2 linked regions of the Mus musculus genome follow. The protein of the gene in region 2 interacts with the protein of the main gene of each other region in a pairwise test. Links are inferred from orthologs where the notes say so. Each region holds a gene or a part of one and is shown on either strand. Other genes may lie near its edges.

Region 1 (4,131 bases), on a different chromosome or scaffold from region 2:
GTGAATTCAAAGCTACATGGTCAAGGGGCGCAGGCACTGCCAACCAAAGCCTAAGGTTCAAACCCAGGCCTAGGCTCTGGCTCTAGCTCAGACTCCAAAAGGTGCCCAGGACCCTGTGAAGGCCCCACAAAAGGTTCCTGCCAATGTGAAGACAGCTGGAGTGCTGGGACATAGCAAGTACACACCATCTGCAGATGACCAGTGTCCTATGCTGTTTTTACACATAAACTTGAGCAAGGAAAAAAAAAACACAAAAAGTAAATAAAACAATACAAGACAGATGGTTTGAAGATGCTCTGATTTGTTTGTTTGTTTGTTTGTTTGTTGACAAACAAACATAAGACATTATTTGAGGTAAGAACTCAAGTACTTCAAGTAGTCCAGACTGGCTTTGAAGTCCTCCTGTTCCTCTCTCTCTTTCCAAGTTCTGAAATTACAGGCCTTTACTGCCACTACCAACCTGATGGATATACTGGAGTCTTTTTTTTTTTTTTTTTTTTTTCCGAGACAGGGTTTCTCTGTATAGCCCCGGCTGTCCTGGCACTCACTTTGTAGACCAGGCTGGCCTCCAACTCAGAAATCCACCTGCTTCTGCCTCCCGGGTGCTAGGATTAAAGATGTGCGCCACCACGCCCAGCTGATATACTATAGTCTTAAAGCCATTGTTTTGGGATTTGTTTTTTTCTTGTTTTTGGTATACTGAGAAGAATTGTGCTATGTAGTCCAGGCTGGCTTCATTTTCTCTCCTCCTGTCCATTCTCCCAGAGTTCACCCCATGCCCAGTACATAATCTTTTTTTTTTTTTTTTTTTAATTAAAAAAAATGTTTTTTCAAGACAGGGTATCTCTATGTAGCCTTGGCTGTCCTGGTACTCTGTAGAGCAGGCTGACCTTGAACTTAGAGATCTGCCTGGCACAGAAATGGCATCTGAGTACTGGGATTCTAATATATACTCTTACTATAACTCAAAAAGGATCACTTTTTTACATTTTAACATCTCTGAAACTGGATGCTGTTTGTGTGCACGTGTGTTTGTAGGTGCACTCAGCTATGCACACCCTTATGAAAGCCACAATTAGGTGTCTTCCTCTATCGCTCTCCACTGTATTTTTTGAGACAGGGTCTCTCACTGAACCTAGAGTTTGTCATTTAGCTAGTCTGCCTAACTAACAAACCCCCAAGCTCGCCCAAATTTCCCTTACCTCCTCCATGTCCTCCTCAGCATGGGGCTACGGGCAAATGCTACCATGCCCAGGTTTACACAGATGCTGGGGATTCAAACTCAGGTCCTCACGCTTGCACAGCAGACCCTGTGCCATCTCTGGAATGCTTCCTATAATCAAGTGTCTTAGACTGCGTAAGCCCTGATAATCCCAACAAGCAAATGATTTAGGCTTTCTTTGGCTGAGTTTCATCTATAAAATGGAGATATTGACTTACTCACTTCTCAGTGCTGTAGTGATGATTTAGGGCTGATTCAAGTGAGGTACTCAAAGTAGTACCTGGCACCCCTAACCAGTATTACTCCTAATATAGCCCACAAAACACTTGGTTCACTTGTCAACTACACAAAGACTACTCTAGCTAGTTAAACAGTGAGGTCAAAAGGAACAGCCTGCCAGCTCTGACTCCTGCTATGGAAAATTTTCAGGTTTCTTGGGAAGGTGGTCAGCATTAAGATGAGCCGCTGTCTGGAACAGTCCTGTCTGTCTCACCCATCCGTTCCCAACCTTCCTGGTAAAGTCCGCAGGGAAGACTACCTGTAGCAAGAGAGCTCGTGCAGGGTGGTCCTAAGCTATCCAGTTACTCTAAGTTACTGTATCCACAAAACAGACCAGGAGAGACACCCTCTCCCCAGGGAGTTACCTGTAAACACAGGAAGAAAGGAGGGGGCCCACATTCAGCACATTTAATGTAAGGTTCCGTGAGGTAGGAGGAGCAGCCTCTGCAGGGCGGCTTATCAGATGGGTCATCTGGAACACACAGAAAACAAACATGAGTTTAACACTCTATGAATGGCTGAAGCCCGACTGCACTGACAAACACACAGTAGTGAAATGAGTTCACTGCACACACAAACAAGAACCACTCTGTCTACTACACAGCAGCGTAGTCCTTCCTCCAGTGAACCTATTGCTTCAAACACTAGGCAGATATGGTCAGTGCAGAGAAGAGAAACTTAGAAATTTTAAAGTTTTACAGAGCCCACTTTGCCACAAGGGAAAGAGAACTGGGCACGTTCCCCATACAGCACACACATAAAAGCAAACCAGACAAAAGGTCAACGATTGTTCTACCTAAGAGCAGCACACAGGCAGTCACTGCCCTGGTCTTTCAACTTCTCTGCAAGTTAAAATTCTTTTCTTAACAAGTTGGAGGAATTCCAATTTGAGATTTAAGCTTTGTGTCTAGACTTGAGATACCAAGGAAAAGGCAAACCGCTGTAAACAGTCCTGTTCTTGTTCTGAACGATGAAGGCAAAGGGCGCATGTAAACTCTCCAAAGCCCTATGACTACAGATACCATTGTTCCAGGTTGCCCTAAATCCTGCCTCTCTGAAGTCAGAGCAACCTATTGTTCTGTGATTGCCCATGGGAATGTGAGACAAAGGCCTTGGAAGGGAGATGAAGGGACTTACTTTGTTTAGCTATCAGACTCTGTAATAGCGCTTTCCTCCATAAAGCTAAGAAACACTTTCTGCGGCACCATTCTTTGCTCTGACAGCCGCTTGCTTTGCAATGAAGACAGAGAAAACTGATAGGGGCTAGTCCCCAACTAGGACCTTCAACTCCTCATCTGCCTGCTTCTGCCTCCAAAGTGAAGGGATTACAGGCATTGACCATCTACCACTTCTGATAAAAATTAAAATACTAAGTGCTACATGTCGGTTTTTAAGAAAATTATGTCTATTTGTATGTCTGTGTGTGACACATGCATTCCAGTGCAGGTGGCAATGGAAGTCAGAAGAGGGTGTCAGGTTCCCTGGAGCTGGACTTACAGGCCACATGTCTGCTTGCCCCCTACAAGAACAGAATACCTTCGGGCAGTGGTGGCACATGCCTTTAATCCCAGCACTTGGGAGGCAGAGGCAGGTGGATTTCTGAGTTCGTGGCCAGCCTGGTCTACAGAGTAAGTTCCAGGTCAACCAGGGCTACACAGAAAAACCCTGTCTCGAAAAACAAAACAAACAAACAAACAAACAAAAAAAGGACAGAACACCTTAAGTGACAAGCCATCTCTCCAGCCCCAGATGCCAATCTTTCCCAAATCACTACCCCCTGAACTCTTGATTTTTGTTTATTTTTAAGAGACAGGTTTTAAGTTGTCAAAACTGGCCCTGAATCCTAGGTTCAAGTGGTTCTATATCATCACAATAGAGCTTCCCTAACTTTTATGTATTACACTTTATTATTTATTTATATTTATGTATTTGTGTGTGTGTGTGCGTGCTCTGCAGCATATGGAAGTCAGAAGACAACTTTTGGGAGTCAGTTTTCTTCTTCCAGCATGTGGGTTACAGGAATTGAACTCAGGTCCTCGGGCTTGAGCCATCTTACTGACCCTTTTCTATCCTTTCAACAGTTCATTTCATCAATTAACTAACCCGATGGTTCTGAACTAACCCCTAGGAGAGATTTTGGAAACCTACGAAGGCAGATTTTTGCTGCTAGGATGAGAGGGATGCACTAAGAACATTTTGCAGATAGGAACTGGGATCCTAGATGTTAAGTACTAAAGATGTCCTTCCTACACAGCAAACCAAACTAAACAAAAAGCCCTGACTCCAGTCCTTAGCAACTTTCAAGTATCTCATTAAATATTCAATGAGATAGAAAAACAAAGCTCACAATTACAATCCCTAGAACCTATTTCTATATTACACGCTAAAAGTGTTTGTTTTGACAGTGTTGGGGATCTGACCCAGGACCTTGTACATGCTAGTCAAACAGGTAACAGTGCTCACTGAGTTATACCCCAGCCCCAGTGCCTGCAGTATGGTGGTGAATGCCTTCAATCTCAGCACTCAGAAGACAAGCAGGCAGATTCTTATGAGATCCACAACAGTCAGAGCTACTTAGTGAGATCCTGTCTTAACGAAAGTTTAAGTTTTAGTATATTTGAGTACTCTAA
Region 2 (4,131 bases):
CAGAAGGATCTCTGTGAGACCTGTTTCAAAAGAAAAGAAAAAAGTTCCTGATGAGGAAATGTCCCCAAGTTCAGCTTCTAACCTTGAAGCTCTGCAGGAAGGTACCTTGTCCTCTTCTGCACCTCCATATATGGCTCAGAGATGCCCAATAAGTGGTTATGTAGATTAACACAGCCATCTTTCTTTTTTTTTTAGATTTATTTATTTATTTATTATATGTAAGTGCACTGTAGCTGTCTTCAGACACTCCAGAAGAGGGAGTCAGATCTCGTTACAGATGGTTGTGAGCCACCATGTGGTTGCTTGGATTTGAACTCTGGACCTTCGGAAAAGCAGTCGGGTGCTCTTACCCACTGAGCCATCTCACCAGCCCCACAGCCATCTTTCAAGACCTTATTTTAGAATGGCAAAAATTATTCCCACTGCCCCACCGTGTGTTGCGGCGCCAGCACAAGCCACGCTTCACCACCAAGAGGCCCAACACCTTCTTCTAGACATAGAGACCCACTGAATAAAAACTTGAGACTGTCAAAAAAAAAAAAAAAAGAATGGCAAAAATCTTTAGGCAGGATCCTGGCCCACCCTGAATATCCAGCCCAGGTTTTACTAGGGCTAATGTTTGTTAACTTGATCTTGTAGAGTTGGTTTCATGTTGGGCAATCTTGTACTCCCTTCAGTAGAATCAGCCTCCGGGATTGTAAGGCAGGCAGGAAAGCCCTAATGTGAGCCAAGCCTCGATACTTGGTCAGAAAACGCTCGATTTGGACCTTGATTTAAAAACAAAAGTGTGTGTGCGGTGGCCTTCAAATATGGGGGTCACGGAATAACTTGAGGGAGTTAGTCCTCTCCTTCCACAGTGTGGGTCTCTGAAATAGAACTCAGATCTTTTTGCTTGGCGGCAAGCACCTTCATCCCCTGAGCCATCTCTGCAGCCTTGTGTGATGTTTTGAAGGTGAGCTGACTTAGCACCTGATTCTGTCATTTGTTTCCTCTTTTCAGAAGCTGGATTACATCACATACCTGTCCATCTTTGACCAGTTGTTTGACATTCCTAAAGAAAGAAAGAATGCAGAGTACAAAAGGTAGGCACTTACAGGTTCCAGGCCGTTTCCAGATTTAGGTAGGATTTCATGGAAAGGGTTGGGTCAGAGTTGTGGCTTTTGTTGTCTGAATACTGGACATGAATGACTTTTGGGTTTATCAGAAGGTAAGGATACTGAGTGTTATGTTTTAGAAATATTTGTGATGCTGTCATGGTGGTGCAAGCCTTTAACCTTAGCATTCCCAAGAGGAAAAGGGCAGGTGGGTCACTGAATTCAGCTGGTCTGCATAGTGAGTTCCAAGCCAGTCAGGGATGCGCAGTGAGAGCCTGCTCAAAAGATAAACGTGTGGGACGTTCTGGTTATGGACAGAGCTATTATGGAAACATCTGTGGTCTTAACACACACCTTCCTTAATTTTGTGTGATTTAGAAAGAAGTCTGTTTGGGGACCTCTGAGGTCTTGTAGTTTAATGGGGAAAGTGTCCAAGCTAAGTGATGTGCTTGGATCAGGTATTAAGCAGAAAGTACTGTAGACTTGGCCACACTTCTCATTAATGTTCCCCAAGCCATAGGCCTTCAGTTCTAAGCCTGCAAGTACAAATGAGCAGGCACACACACGAGACACACACACACACTTTCTGTCTGTCTGTCTGTCTGTCTGCCTGCCTGCCTCTCTCTCTCTCATATGCTATGAGTTTTACTTTATCAACTATTATTAGAAATTAAGTATGGTTTGCAGGGCATAGCAGGATGTCACAGGTAGAATTGCTTCCTTGCTATAATGGCTTCCTTGTTGCATGGTTCTCTGCAGATACCTGGAGATGCTGCTGGAGTACCTACAGGATTACACAGATAGAGTGAAGCCCCTTCAGGATCAGAACGAGCTCTTTGGGAAGATTCAGACCGACTTTGAGAAGAAGTGGGATAATGGCACCTTTCCTGGATGGCCGGTGAGCTCCAGTGGGGTTCATGCCAAGGAAGCGAACTAATTATTTTATTCTTGAGTCTCTGCTTCAAGACGTTGGATGTCAGTCCCTCAGTATCAGCTCCATCCTGAGGCCGGCATTCTTTGTACACTTGGAACAAGATTTGTCAGGACCCACTAGACATTGTCTGGGCCCTGGGTTTTTAACAAACATACCCAGATTGCTCTGTGACTCCTGACCAAAATCTGATCAGTTTGTATGATTAGAATCTATGTTTGTTTTTAAGAATTGTTTGTTTATTTTATTTATGTGAGTACACTGTAGCTGTCTTCAGACATACCAGAAGAGGACATCAGATCCCATTTCATAAGGTTGAGAGCTACCATGTGGTTGCTGGGATTTGAACTCAGGACTTCTGGAAGAGCAGTCAGTGCTCCTAACCACTGACCCATCTCTTCAGCCCAAATTTGTGTATTTTTACTTCTTTTGATAAACTTGAGCTTTCAGGAAGAAAACTAGCTGTCTGATACTTTTTTTTTCTTCACTTCTGTATGAATTGATCATTATTTGTAAATGTGTTTAAAGAAAGGGACCAGATAGTCCTGGGAAGTTAGATAGCTCCATTACCTTCAGTCTTCTCATTAGCCTGGATCGTAATAAACTTCCTCTACCTGCCAGAAAGAGACAAGCAGCGCCCTGACTCACGCGGGAGCCCATCTTGATCTCTCCGCATTCTCCTCCTGGGAGGTATGTTCTATGACACTACATGACACTGCTCTTACTTGGCTGGCTGTCTTTCTGACAGTGGTGGTGGCAATAAATGTATTGTGTAGGAGTAGGTATATGTCTCTGAGCGTGCATGTGTCTCTGCGTGTGCCACAGCATGCATGTATCACAGCGTGCATGTGTCTCTGCGTGTGCCACAGCATGCATGTATCACAGCGTGCATGTGTCTCTGCGTGTGCCACAGCGTGCATGTATCACAGCGTGCATGTGTCTCTGCGTGTGCCACAGCGTGCATGTATCACAGCGTGCATGTGTCTCTGCGTGTGCCACAGCGTGCATGTATCACAGCGTGCATGTGTCTCTGCGTGTGCCACAGCGTGCATGTGTAGATGATGAGTTGTGGGAGCTGATTCTCTCCTCTACCACTGAGTCTTGGGGCTCAAACTCCGGTCACCCCTTCCTTGACTGTGGGCATTTTTTTTCCTTGTTGAGATATCTCACTAGCCCTGGCCATCCTTCAGAGGGACTGCTTGCTCTCCTGTATTCAGTGTCTTAGACTTGTCACAATACCACTTCTGAGGGCAGGCATGTACAAGGGATATGAAAAGATCAGAAGGGAAAAACCTTTTAACATCTCGGAAAACTAGATTTCAGAGACCTGTGAGATGATGTCATAGAAAGTCAGAGGGGAGCTGAGGCAGGAACATTGCTGTGAATTTGAGGCTGGCTTTAGAGTAAGATCTGTCTCCAAACACAAAGTCAGTAATTCCAAAACGAGGAGCTAGAGACAAGAGTTCAGTTGGTGGAGGGTTTGTCCAGCGTGTGTGAGGTTCTGGGTTCAGTTCCCATCTCTGCAAAAAATACTGCTATGAATGGTCTTCCTACAGAGAGCCACTAAACACTGCCTTCCCAGTACGACTGAGCCTAGACGTGGCAGTAGTCAGTCTTTGGGAACTGAAAGCTAGGGTTGACTGTAGAATGTAGTCTTACCTGGGGAGAAAGCTGATCATGTTGTGTTGTAACTGATTTCTCTTTTCTAGGAGTTGGCATCCCTGGGTCTGGATAGGTTGAAATCTGCACTATTGGCATTGGGCCTGAAGTGTGGCGGGTAAGAACCTGGTTTTGCTATCAAAAATCCTAGTGACTGTATGTTTGGATGATCATCTAAGTGGCTCTGATTTTGTTGTTTGATTGCCCCAAACTGTCAAAATCATTTTGTGCAGTGCATGCTGGTGAATGCCTTTAACCCCAGCACTGAGAGAACAGGCAAGTCTGTGAGTCAGAGACCAGCCTGGTCTACAATAGTGAGTGTCTTTTAAAAAGAAAAAAGATAACCTGTATCCCTTACCACCTCAGGACCCTAGAAGAACGAGCTCAGAGGCTCTTCAGCACCAAAGGAAAGTCTTTGGAGTCACTCGACACTTCTCTGTTTGCCAA

What was found.
Region 1: the proteins of Sf3a3 (region 2) and Tada2a interact in binary tests that used the Homo sapiens proteins (3 or more experiments, as listed by UniProt). The two-hybrid records come from large-scale screens. The link is inferred for Mus musculus from reciprocal best matches to the Homo sapiens genes SF3A3 and TADA2A.

Annotation. Positions count from the first base shown.
Region 1 is NC_000077.6:84,119,216-84,123,346, forward strand, and holds part of Tada2a (transcriptional adapter 2-alpha), read right to left. Parts: intron 1,974-4,131; coding exon 1,867-1,973; intron 1-1,866. UniProt on the Homo sapiens protein: Component of the ATAC complex, a complex with histone acetyltransferase activity on histones H3 and H4. Required for the function of some acidic activation domains, which activate transcription from a distant site. Binds double-stranded DNA.
Region 2 is NC_000070.6:124,721,025-124,725,155, forward strand, and holds part of Sf3a3 (splicing factor 3A subunit 3), read left to right. Parts: intron 1-999; coding exon 1,000-1,082; intron 1,083-1,853; coding exon 1,854-1,992; intron 1,993-2,646; coding exon 2,647-2,715; intron 2,716-3,734; coding exon 3,735-3,802; intron 3,803-4,050; coding exon 4,051-4,131. UniProt on the Homo sapiens protein: Component of the 17S U2 SnRNP complex of the spliceosome, a large ribonucleoprotein complex that removes introns from transcribed pre-mRNAs.